Linked DNA regions of Arabidopsis thaliana. The protein of the gene in region 2 interacts with the protein of the main gene of each other region in a biochemical or structural test. Each region holds a gene or a part of one and is shown on either strand. Other genes may lie near its edges.

What was found. The genes of interacting proteins can lie anywhere in the genome.
Region 1: the proteins of AT1G48560 (region 2) and FVE form a complex in vitro, tested with the Arabidopsis thaliana proteins (one study listed by BioGRID).

Annotation. Positions count from the first base shown.
Region 1 is NC_003071.7:8,453,963-8,460,171, reverse strand, and holds FVE (Transducin family protein / WD-40 repeat family protein), read right to left. Parts: upstream 4,417-6,209; 5' UTR 4,167-4,416; coding exon 3,883-4,166; intron 3,528-3,882; coding exon 3,464-3,527; intron 3,371-3,463; coding exon 3,284-3,370; intron 3,175-3,283; coding exon 3,112-3,174; intron 2,939-3,111; coding exon 2,873-2,938; intron 2,729-2,872; coding exon 2,654-2,728; intron 2,517-2,653; coding exon 2,441-2,516; intron 2,368-2,440; coding exon 2,172-2,367; intron 2,062-2,171; coding exon 1,980-2,061; intron 1,900-1,979; coding exon 1,826-1,899; intron 1,752-1,825; coding exon 1,640-1,751; intron 1,555-1,639; coding exon 1,480-1,554; intron 1,376-1,479; coding exon 1,308-1,375; intron 1,224-1,307; coding exon 1,124-1,223; intron 1,039-1,123; coding exon 937-1,038; 3' UTR 530-936; downstream 1-529. UniProt on the Arabidopsis thaliana protein: Core histone-binding subunit that may target chromatin assembly factors, chromatin remodeling factors and histone deacetylases to their histone substrates in a manner that is regulated by nucleosomal DNA.
Region 2 is NC_003070.9:17,951,094-17,955,823, reverse strand, and holds AT1G48560 (uncharacterized protein), read right to left. Parts: upstream 2,966-4,730; 5' UTR 2,890-2,965; coding exon 2,394-2,889; intron 2,272-2,393; coding exon 2,215-2,271; intron 2,152-2,214; coding exon 716-2,151; 3' UTR 551-715; downstream 1-550. Other genes in the region: AT1G48570 (zinc finger (Ran-binding) family protein), read left to right, coding at 55-153, 252-369; AT1G48550 (Vacuolar protein sorting-associated protein 26), read left to right, coding at 3,179-3,241, 3,322-3,414, 3,495-3,559, 3,651-3,705, 3,791-3,880, 3,969-4,053, 4,134-4,229, 4,313-4,497 and 1 more.

The sequences.
Region 1 (6,209 bases), on a different chromosome or scaffold from region 2:
TTAAGTATCGTCGGAAAAAGAAAAGAAAATGTAGGTCTAAAAACCCTAATTTTATGAAATACTCCGATTCGTCTACTTGTGATTGATTAGCTTCCCTACCTTATTCCTCAAGCAATACATTGATTCATGTTTCTCTCTTTAGTATCTTTTGGAACAAAAACTTCTTCGTTTGATCTTCTCTGACTGATCTTGACGGTCTCATGTAGGCTTTGTGATTGGATTTTTAAAGTCTCTAGCTCATCAAGAGACTTCATAAAGCCTATTAAGCGGGAGGACCATTAACGTTAAGCCCAATAAAGTAAAACATTATCATATAGTTTAGTTTTATGAAATGACCAGGTGATCTATGTATGATTTGCAATGGTCTGATTGTTTAGTGACTGTTAATACTTAAAATTTCTTCAAAATCCTACGAATAAATCTGTGAATTGAAAATCACCTAATCCTACTGCTAAGCGTGATTAACAGTTTTTTTCTAATGAAAACGACAATGCAAACATTATTTAAGATGCGACGAATCATCAAGAACCCAGTTTCCAAATTTTGCGATGCTTATTACTATATTGTTTTATAATGACCCCTTCTGCTTTGCATTTGAACATCAATGCAACTATTTTTTTTGTAGCCGGGTTGGTCTCGACTAGTTACAGAGAAGGAATCATTAGGTTCAGGCCAAGTATTGAAACCTTAAACCAAAACACATAAAGTTGGTCCGATTTGATTAACATCTCAGTTGAACAAAACAGCACCTAAGAGTCTGATGAAACAGGATCATGAACCAGAACCATGTACCCCTAACTGATATGGAAAGGTCCTAAAAGCTACCACCAATATCTCAAAAGACAAACCAGCCTTACAAAAACCAAGACTCCTCGCTAAAACCCGCATTAGTTTACCATAGGCGATAGATAGATAGACAATGGGTTTTCTTTACTCTTAAGGCTTGGAGGCACAAGTCATAACATGCGACTTGAACTTCTCCAATTCTGCCACGACTTCTTCTTCTGGTCTGTAAATCAAGTCACTCATCCGCCATATCTGCCATAGAAGAAAGTATAAACAACATTTAACGGTATGTCAATAAAATTGCTTATCAAGGTACCAAGAAAGATTTCAAGGTTACCTGCAATGTTCCACCTCCACCAGTAGTCTCACAGTCATCAGAAACACTGACAATAGTCCAAGGGTCTGAAGCATTCCAGTGGAAATCAACAACTTTGTCCCTAATATGGTTTATAAACAAGGGAACTTAGAAGCAAGTAAAATGAGAAAGCAATCAAGAAAAATCAAGATAAGTCTTTAAGAACCTGTGACCAGCATGCTGGAAGAAGAGCCCAGCGGGGCTTTTAGCTGCACGATCAGACTTCTTACTGACCTGATGGTTAATTAAACAAACCAAACATGAGTACAATGAATATGTTTCAGTGATGATAGTGAAGAAAGATTAATTTTAGACATCTGAGTGAACTATGTACACACCCTGTCATAATCCCAGATGTTCAAGAGACCATCTTCTGCAGAGCTCCCAAAGACGGATGACTTATCAGGAGACCACTGAATTGAATAACAAGATAGTGTCAGTGGGTTAAGAGATATACTTCATACAAAGAAGGAAAAAAAAAAAAAAAGTTGATTATACCTGAACACAAAGAACAGCAGCTTTGTGTCCCTCAAATTTGTAAATAGGCGAACCAACTCCATTAGCGGTAAGCTTCCTACGATCAAACAACCGGACAGTGTTGTCTGCTGACCTGAAATATTCATCAATTTCTTAATTAGATACTAAGTATGTATTAATCATCTATTTGTATGTATTTCTCCATACCCTGTCAGGATCAGATTGTCGTCATGAGGATTCCAATCAACACAATGAAGATCAGCATCATGCGCTTTTTCAACCTGGAAAACAAAAAAGTAAGATATAATATCAAAAGGAGGTAAATCTTCAAACTTTTGATAGGATTCAAAAGATAGAGTACCTTCGTGACAGGGTTTGTGCCAGTTCTCGCATCCCATAGTATAAGGCAAGAATCATCACCAACACTGCAGAATTCTTGTGCACTTCACGGTATAAAAGTTCACCAGAAGTATTATTAGAAAATCATGAAAATATCTGCAGTATGCATAAACAAACACGATATCAATAGAAGGAGTCTGTTCTAAGAAGTTACCTCGTCGGGCTGAATGCCACATCTTCAACTGTATCTTCATGGCCATGATATACACCTCGTGGGCCAACAGTAGGACTCTCATTCTTATCAGTACCTTCACCAGTCTGTTTGATGATAGATCCAGATGATTTGGAATCTGTCCCAATCGTTGTGATGTGATCTTGGATACTCCACAAAACAACTGACTTGTCCTTGCCTAAGAGAAGAACTTTTGTATGAGAAACTGGCAAACCACAGGATTGGACTCTACAAATTACAGAAACACAAACCTCCGGAGAGCACAAAGGGTTCCGTTGGGCACATGGCAAGAGCAAATTCAGCATTATCTTGGTGCCCAGTTAGTATCTGCATGAAAAATGGTTCATTCAGATGATGCAAACAAGAAGCACTATTTAAGAAGATATCAAAGAGATTTATCACTTCCAATGATGAGAAACAAACAAGAATAAAGCATAAAACAACATTCTCAGAAGTGGACATACCAAATCTGGACGGGAATTTGCAGCTCCAAGCACAGCATGACGGTTTGGTTGGGTTTCAACATCCCAAATGAGAACCTGAAATCAACATATTGTATTTAGATAACTCTGAAACTGGACATATGTCCGAACAAAGGATGCTCTTTGACTGCCAAATACAGAAATATGAAACCGACATATTTCAAGTTGCTATGACCATAACAAAATAGAAGCAGCACTCACATCAGGACTGTCGGTGTGAGTAGCAACAATCTTACTATTCTGTGGGAGTTCCCTGATTCTGTTAACCTGCAATTGCAAATTAGTAATGAATACACATCAAAATTTACTTTCACCAACGTGCCAAACGAATAACTTCATGGACAGATGAAACAGGGATGCAGATACAATTAACAAACCAAATAGAACTAAAAAGAACAATGTCAATACAGAAATATCTCAAGAGTGGGCAGAATTCACACCTCTCCAGGGTGAATGATGGTCTTGTACTTCTTCACAAATGGAGAACGTGCTTCTTCATTGAACTGAGAACACATTTTCAGAAGATAGTATATAAGTGTCAAACATGAAACCAATTGTAGTGTGGAGTAGGATATGGAAAGGACACAAGCTTAGTATTAAACCACATAATACCTGAGAAATGTGCTCTGCTGCAGCAACCCTTGGCTTAACAACTTCACAATTTGCTATGACCAAAGTATTGGGCACACTTCCATCAGTCTGGTGACACAACCAAGAAAAATACAAATAATACGATGAGAAGTATATAAAGAAGATGAGACAACAAGATACAAGAGAAAGCTAAAAACTTACTTGCTCTGAGAGGTACAGACGCTGGCGATTCTTGTAGGTTGCTTGCTCAAGCTGCGGACCCCATCTATAAAAAAATCAAACAACAATTCACCAAATGGAAACTCTTAGCACAACAACTAAAGACTTCATCAGATATAAACACTCAGAGAAACTGAAAATTCCTCTTAGTCATTAGTAACCAACAAGGTAATCAATAGTAACAATTCATGAATAGAACATCAGATATATCAAGGTATGAAGACAGAGCCACATCCAAAACCCTAACTAGAACAATCGCAACAATCTCACTTAAACCCAGAAATCGAGAAAATGTATGTGTAAGATTTTACTAAATTCATTCCAAACATGAGAATGTTCAAAGCTAAGAAACGATTACGAAACGAAACCCTAGAAGGAGAGGAAAGGAGAAAGGGGGAGACCTGCAAGAGAGTGAAGGCCAGACGAGGTTATGGTTAGCGAGCCAGTCGTAGAGAATGGGGACGAGACCTTTCCACTGAGAGTACTTCTCGTCAACACTCGGCGACTGCTGCGTTTTCTTCCCACTTTCTTTCATTTTAACATCGCTCTGTTGCTGAGACGACGGCGTCTGAGAATCTTCCTTGGTTTTAGGTTTCCGACCTCTCTTCTTCGGCCCAGAAGCTCCGGTTCCTCCGCTCGGTGTCGTTGCTTGAGGAGACACTGCTGCTGCTTCGTCGCTCTCCATTTTCCTCTCTCTCTTTTTAATTTTTCTTTTTTGGTCTTTGCTTTCAGTGTCTCTATATCTCTCTCTCTTCTGCTTTACAAATACAAACAAAACAACCACCGTTTACCATTTTTACTTTGGACATAATACCTGAATCCGAAAAAACCGATCTGAACCCGATCCAAAAATCCCAATCCAAAAATCCCAATCTAAATTCGAACCTGAAATTTTCAAATATCCGACTGAATCTAAACTTCAAAACCTGAAAAACCCGAACCCGAACTGGTACCCAAACATATCTTAAATATAAATATAACTAAAATATTTATATTTATATTTACATATAGACAATATTATGATTTTTCGGATATTTTAGTTACTTTTATGTATTTTTAAATATATTCAAGCAAAACTACTCGGGTTGTTTAGGGAATTTTTGAAATTTTCAAATAATTTAATAGATTCGGACACAAAATTTTGATATTTCAATATATAACTAAACCCGAAACCGAACCAAACCCGACCCGGAATCTTGAATTACTCGAACGGATCTTAAAATTCTAAACCCGAAAAACTCAAACCCAAAATACCCGACCGAATATCCAAACACCCATAATTATTATTTTTTAATTCAGTAAAATAAATACTTTATTGAATAATAATAAAAATTACGGATGAAATAATTAACAGTATAAATTAATTAATATAAGCGTCTCTTACATGGATTACTAACTTTATAATTCATATCCAAACTTGTTGTTCTTTCTTGTAGCTTCTTCTGAAAAAAAAAAAAAGAATAGATCCTCGTTGCATTTTGAAAAGTGATTTAAGAAGATTTCAATGTTTGTTTAATACTTGAACAATAAAGTCCAATATTGTTCAGAAGTATATGACTAAGCTTAGACTTGAACCCTAAGTTTGTTCTTGGTGTCTAAACTTAAAACATTCATTTCATTTGTTCTCTGCTGGCTAAACCTATAAAATTTACCTTTCATTTTATCTTCTTTATTTAAAACATAAAATTGTACTATTTCATATCCCTCTTTGTTCTATGTGAAAAGCTCAATTTTCACTCATGGATTCGACACCAAATAACTTTCTTTGGGACATTGAAAGCCTTAAAATATCTCGAGGTTATGATTTACATGTAGTTGTTCCAAGCTTGAGGCTTTTTCTCAATCCAGCATGGATTAATCTGATGAATATGGTAAATCCGAAAAAAACCTAAACGTCTGTTCGCTCTATTTAATATCTTAATTTTTTTTATTATGATTATAGTTTAGAACTTAAAAGTTATGTATAATCATGTCATTTTAAAATTTCGCTTCAAATCTCTATAATTCTTGGCATTGCACTTCTTATATCACTAGTTTTGACTATTAAGAAACGTTTTGTGCATAAAAATTCAGATTTTTTATGATCAACAAATTAAATAGTGTTAGAAATTTTGTTGTGATTATGAATTTTTTAAAATTCTAACACAATTTATTTGGTAGAGGTGCAAAATAGGTATTAAACAAAAATTTTAGATCTGCACAACATATATGTATACAAATATGTATATGAACTATGCAAATAAAAGAAAAAAAAAACTATTACTAAGATTACTAGGGAAAAATATTGACTCAAATCATCTAATTTATGTTTCTCATCTTACTAATATTAATGTTGATAGTATAGTGGTGTTTCATATATTCTCTAATTGCATATTACATATACATATTTGTATATTTACACCTATTTTCCTATTAACTTAATAAATAAATATTATTTTTTTTGGGACGAAATAAATTGTATTATTATCGTCATAAAACTGATAGGTACAATGAAATTAGTAACGCTAATGAATTTGTCGTCCAAAAATTAAAGATTTGAATTTTTTATACACAAAGTTTTTCGTGGTAGTTAGAGACATGTGATACAAGCATTTAAGATATTATGCATGTAAGGCAAACATGATTTTTAATCAAATGTCAAATATCATGAGTCAAAGATATACTAAACGAAACATAATATCTAGCTTTTTACAAAGCAATTTTCCAAAGGCAACTAAACCCTAATTCT
Region 2 (4,730 bases):
TTGCTCGATTGCTCTGTCTGTACTGATCAGAATGCTTTGTATGTATATTTTCAGGTGTGGATATATGAACTTTGCTAGCAACAAACAGTGTCGAGAGTGCCGAGAACAACGTCACAAGACGCTAGCTGAGCCTGGAGATTGGGAATGCCCCTCGTGCGTCTCTCTTCCTCTCTGTCTCTTATTTAGTAATTTGTTATCTTCATATCCTAAACCAGACCATTTTGTTCCCGTGGCTCATTTTAATTTTGCAGATGCGACTTCGTGAACTTTAGGAGAAACGATGCTTGCAAGAAATGCGAGTGCAAACGACCTAGCCAAGCCAATAACGATCAAGAAGACCATACATGGAAACGACCCGCCTTAGTGTAAACTTATGCTTTTGTACTTGCAAGATTCACTGCTTGCTATTTCCTTTCAACTTGTTGTTTCTTCTTCTCTTGTTGAGTTCCCAAATTTCTAAACAGATAACAATTTTGAAGCAGAAAATGGAAACCTAGTTTGTAGTCACATTCATGATTCATCGTTAAAGCTATATTTTATGTAGTCAAGTACAAACTATGTCATCTCTAATACAAAACAAGCCATGATTATACAAAAGCTTCAAGGCCAAAAAAAGGTGCAAGTTCTTCGTTAGGAACAGACCGTAGCTACATTACAAAAGCTTCCCGTGAGAGCTACATAAGCTAAAACTATTGAGATGATGATGTCATCGGATTCATGAGTTGGTCTCCATTTGAAATTTCACCTTCATATTCCTTCTTCCCTCTTCTTTATCTACCAAACCATGTTCCTTGAGACATGATTTTGGTGATGGAGCAGACTTTTGCGGCTTCTGAGGCAAAGGAACTTTTTTTACTTCATTGTCTTCCTCAAAGGGTTCGAGGCGGTACGTAACCTTAGACTTTCCTAGTCTAAACTTTTTGCTCCTAGCAAATTGATAAGCCGTCACTGCATCGATGCTCTGCATGAATACTACTTTCGCAGAGCTTTCCCCTGGGTTTACATCAGTTCTTGAAGCATCTATTTTCCCAAACACACTGAATCTCTTCAACAGTTCTGCTTTGGACGGGAGATCCCCATGTCTACACAAAAACTTCATCCGCAAACATTTTGGATTAGCAAGCCGCATATCTTTCATCAGGTGTAGATTCAGCGATTTATCAGTAGAAATAGATTGTTGGCCTGCTTTCTTCTTTCTCTTGGAGTAACGTGCAGATGCTTTGTCTCGACTTGCCTTCCTTTTGACACCAATGGATCTGACATTATCAACTGATCTCGTCTGGTTTTCAACAGTTGTTCCAGCTTCCAAATCTTGTAATTGTTCTGCAGGTGCTCCTGCATCATCAGAACTAAATTCTTTGTTTGAAGTGCCTGTACTAGGTAGCGAAACCTGTCCCACCTCCACAATATGTGACTCCAACGTATATTCAGAGCAGTTTTCTCGTGTTCCATTAAGACTATTCCTACCTAACGACTGCTCATTCAAGGTCTTGGCACTGATGATAGAGCTATCAAGCTTGTTTCTTGGGCTAGCATATTTTTTTCTCACTGAACAAGCTAGAGTGTGACAGGCTCCTGGAACAACAAAAGAAACAGGCTTTGCCAAATAAGCTTTGTCGTTGCTCGAATCAAGCAAGGGTGACAGTTCATTTGTCGATGTCACAGGTCCATCAACCAAACCAATGATGTCATCATGAGTTTCAATCATAACATCAGGAAGTGCTTCTGATACATCAACTCTTGAGGCAGCAACGGAAGTGGTGTCTTCCTCTATCATATCTTCAATAGAAGGTTCTGAATTCAATAAGCAGATATTCTGCTCAACTTGACAGCATTCTTTACTCTTGGACAGGTGACCATCATCCTCATGAACAGCTCTTCTAACCATGGTTTCACAAGCTTTCATGGTACTAGAATTAGAACTGGTTCGAGGGCTCCTCGTATTCCATGTGCAAATCTGAACTACTTTATCAACATGCTGCTCAGAAGAACAACAAGGGAGATCCTTCGGCAATGGATCTCTTAGACTCAAATCTCTACTGTTGTCGATATCCGCATCCGCAGTCTCAGGAAACATAGAACACAGGTCCATCTTCTTTGAGTATTCAAGACACCAACCTGATTCTTCAGATCGATCATTTAGCTCTGCACCTGTACACATATTCATAGAATTATTTGAGAATACAAATCATAGCAATATCTGTCAATCCATACTTCGCCTTGTTCTATTGTAAACAGAGCATATAGATTCACACTCAAATTTTGAAGTTCCTATAAACCTAATAGAGCGAAACAGTAGCAATCATCTCTATGGAGCAGTTCTAAAACACCAAATGGGGTTTCTTTCCTAATCGTACTCAGCAAAACCCAAAAATAAGAATTTTCAAACTTACTTGCTCTAGTCTCCTCATAGACAGATTCGGAGCGCTTAAAATCGACAATGTAACGCCGAAAACTAAGGATCTGAGCACTGGAACTATTGGTCTCAGCTAATCTCCAGAGGGGCATTCGTATCGAAATAGCCATATCTCTAACAAACCCCAGAGCCGAATCCGAAGTGGCATGAAACCGTGGGAGAGAGTTTTCTCTATCCAAGTAAGGCGAATCAATACGCGGCTGGCAAGAACACCATAACCCAAACGAGATGTTCCAAAAGTAAGCTCGCAGAGCTCGATTCACAAAGCGGCGAATCCACCTTGAATCTGAAATCAAGGTTTTGAAATCGCGATCAAAGCTTCGTAGAAATGGTTTTGGAACGTATCGCGGATCCATTAGGCCGAAGAACGAGACGAGAACTCCTAACGATTCGGATGGATCGATAATCCGACCCGGAATCCATGTATTCGAAAAGCTCACGCTTACCCAAACTAGCTCCCCTTTCTTCCACATCTTTGAATATTAGGGTTTAAGCTTTCTCTCTGATATCATCTCTGTGACAAGACAAGAGAGAAGAAAGTGTAGCGTTGCCTGTAACGTCTCCTCTAGAACTTTTTCTACTTTAATTGAATTACACTTCATGCTGTTTTCAACTCTCAGATACTAACTACCTGCCATTTAATCAACGTTTTGTCTTCAGTAAAGACATCCTGCTGTTGTCCTACTTATAGAGAAAACTTCTGCCGTTTCATTTACTCCGCCGTTGCCACAAAATCCGCTGTAGCTAAGCTCGGTGAGTAAAATGGCGACGGCGACGACGGTGAATGTCAAACTTTCTCGATCAAATCGTATCTATCGCTCTTCCGTATGTATCGAATCTCTTAATTATGAATTATGATTACGTTGAAGACGAATTTGAAATCTCTAGTTTTTGAATTTAATCAGGAACCAGTGGAAGGAAAAATTGTGATAAAATCTGCAACTTCGATTTCGCATCAAGCAATACGTTTATCCGTCAATGGATCAGTCAACTTGCAGGTTTCAGATTCTCTCTCTATTGAAGCTTTTCTTCAATTTGGTTCCACCAAGTTAGTTAAATTTCTTCCTCACTCCTACAGGTTCGTGGAGGATCAGCTGGAGTTATTGAGTCCTTCTATGGTGTCATCAAGCCTATTCAAATCGTGTAAGCATTTATTTCTTCTCTGGTTCTTGAATTGATTCCTTGATGTTGAAATTACTCGAGCTTAAGCAAATAATTCGAATTTTGGCCACAGCAAGAAGACGATCGAAGTTAAGTCTTCTGGCAAAATCCCTCCGGGAACTACAGAGGTAAAGAACATAGTCCCATTGAGAAATATCACATATAGCTGCAACATTGAGTAAGCTAAGCTTTTGGATATTTTTTTTGCTGTAGATACCATTCTCTTTGAATCTGAGGGAGCCTGGGGAAGGCATTGTAGAGAAGTTCTATGAGACATTTCATGGAACAAATATCAACATCCAAGTCAGTAGTTTGATCAGCTTTTTTTAATAAGGATTTTAGGATTTTTGTCTGTGAATTGGGAAAACATTGATGCAAAAATCTGTGACAGTATCTACTAACTGCAGATATACCGCGAGGATACTTGCACAAACCTTTGTCTGCAACAATGGAGTTTATTATTGAGAGCGGTAGAGGTACTTTGTCTTGCTTCGTTGGTGTTTATAGAATAAACATGGATTGTTTTGTGATGTTTTTCCTTGGTTTTTGGTTGAAGTTGACCTTCCCGAGCGGCCTATTCCTCCGGAAATTGTCATCTTCTACATCACTCAAGACACACAGAGACATCCGTTGCTGCCTGATATTAAGACAGGTTTGTTCTTCCAACATTTTCACTCCAGTTTCGGAGATATCATCTCTTAATGTGAAAACTAATAGGACAATTGATCTCACAAGGTGGTTTCCGAGTTACTGGAAAATTAGCCACCCAATGCTCTTTGCAGGATCCACTCAGTGGTGAGTTAACAGTGGAAGCATCTTCAGTTCCTATTACTTCTATTGACATTCACCTACTCCGAGTTGAGTCGATAATTGTAGGGGAAAGGATTGTCACTGAGACCTCTTTGATTCAGTCTACACAGGTGTTAAAATGACCATTCTGGTTTGTTAATGTAGTAATTGTAATATCAAAATGCTTTGCTAATTTAGACCATGTTCAGATTGCGGATGGAGATGTGTGCCGTAACATGACTCTACCCATTTACGTTTTACTACCTCGGCTTTTAATGTGTCCTTCCGTTTTCGCAGGGTAAGTTTCTTTGCTTCATTTTCTATAAACCTAGGCAGTTGATTGAAACAAATGACTCTCTAGTTA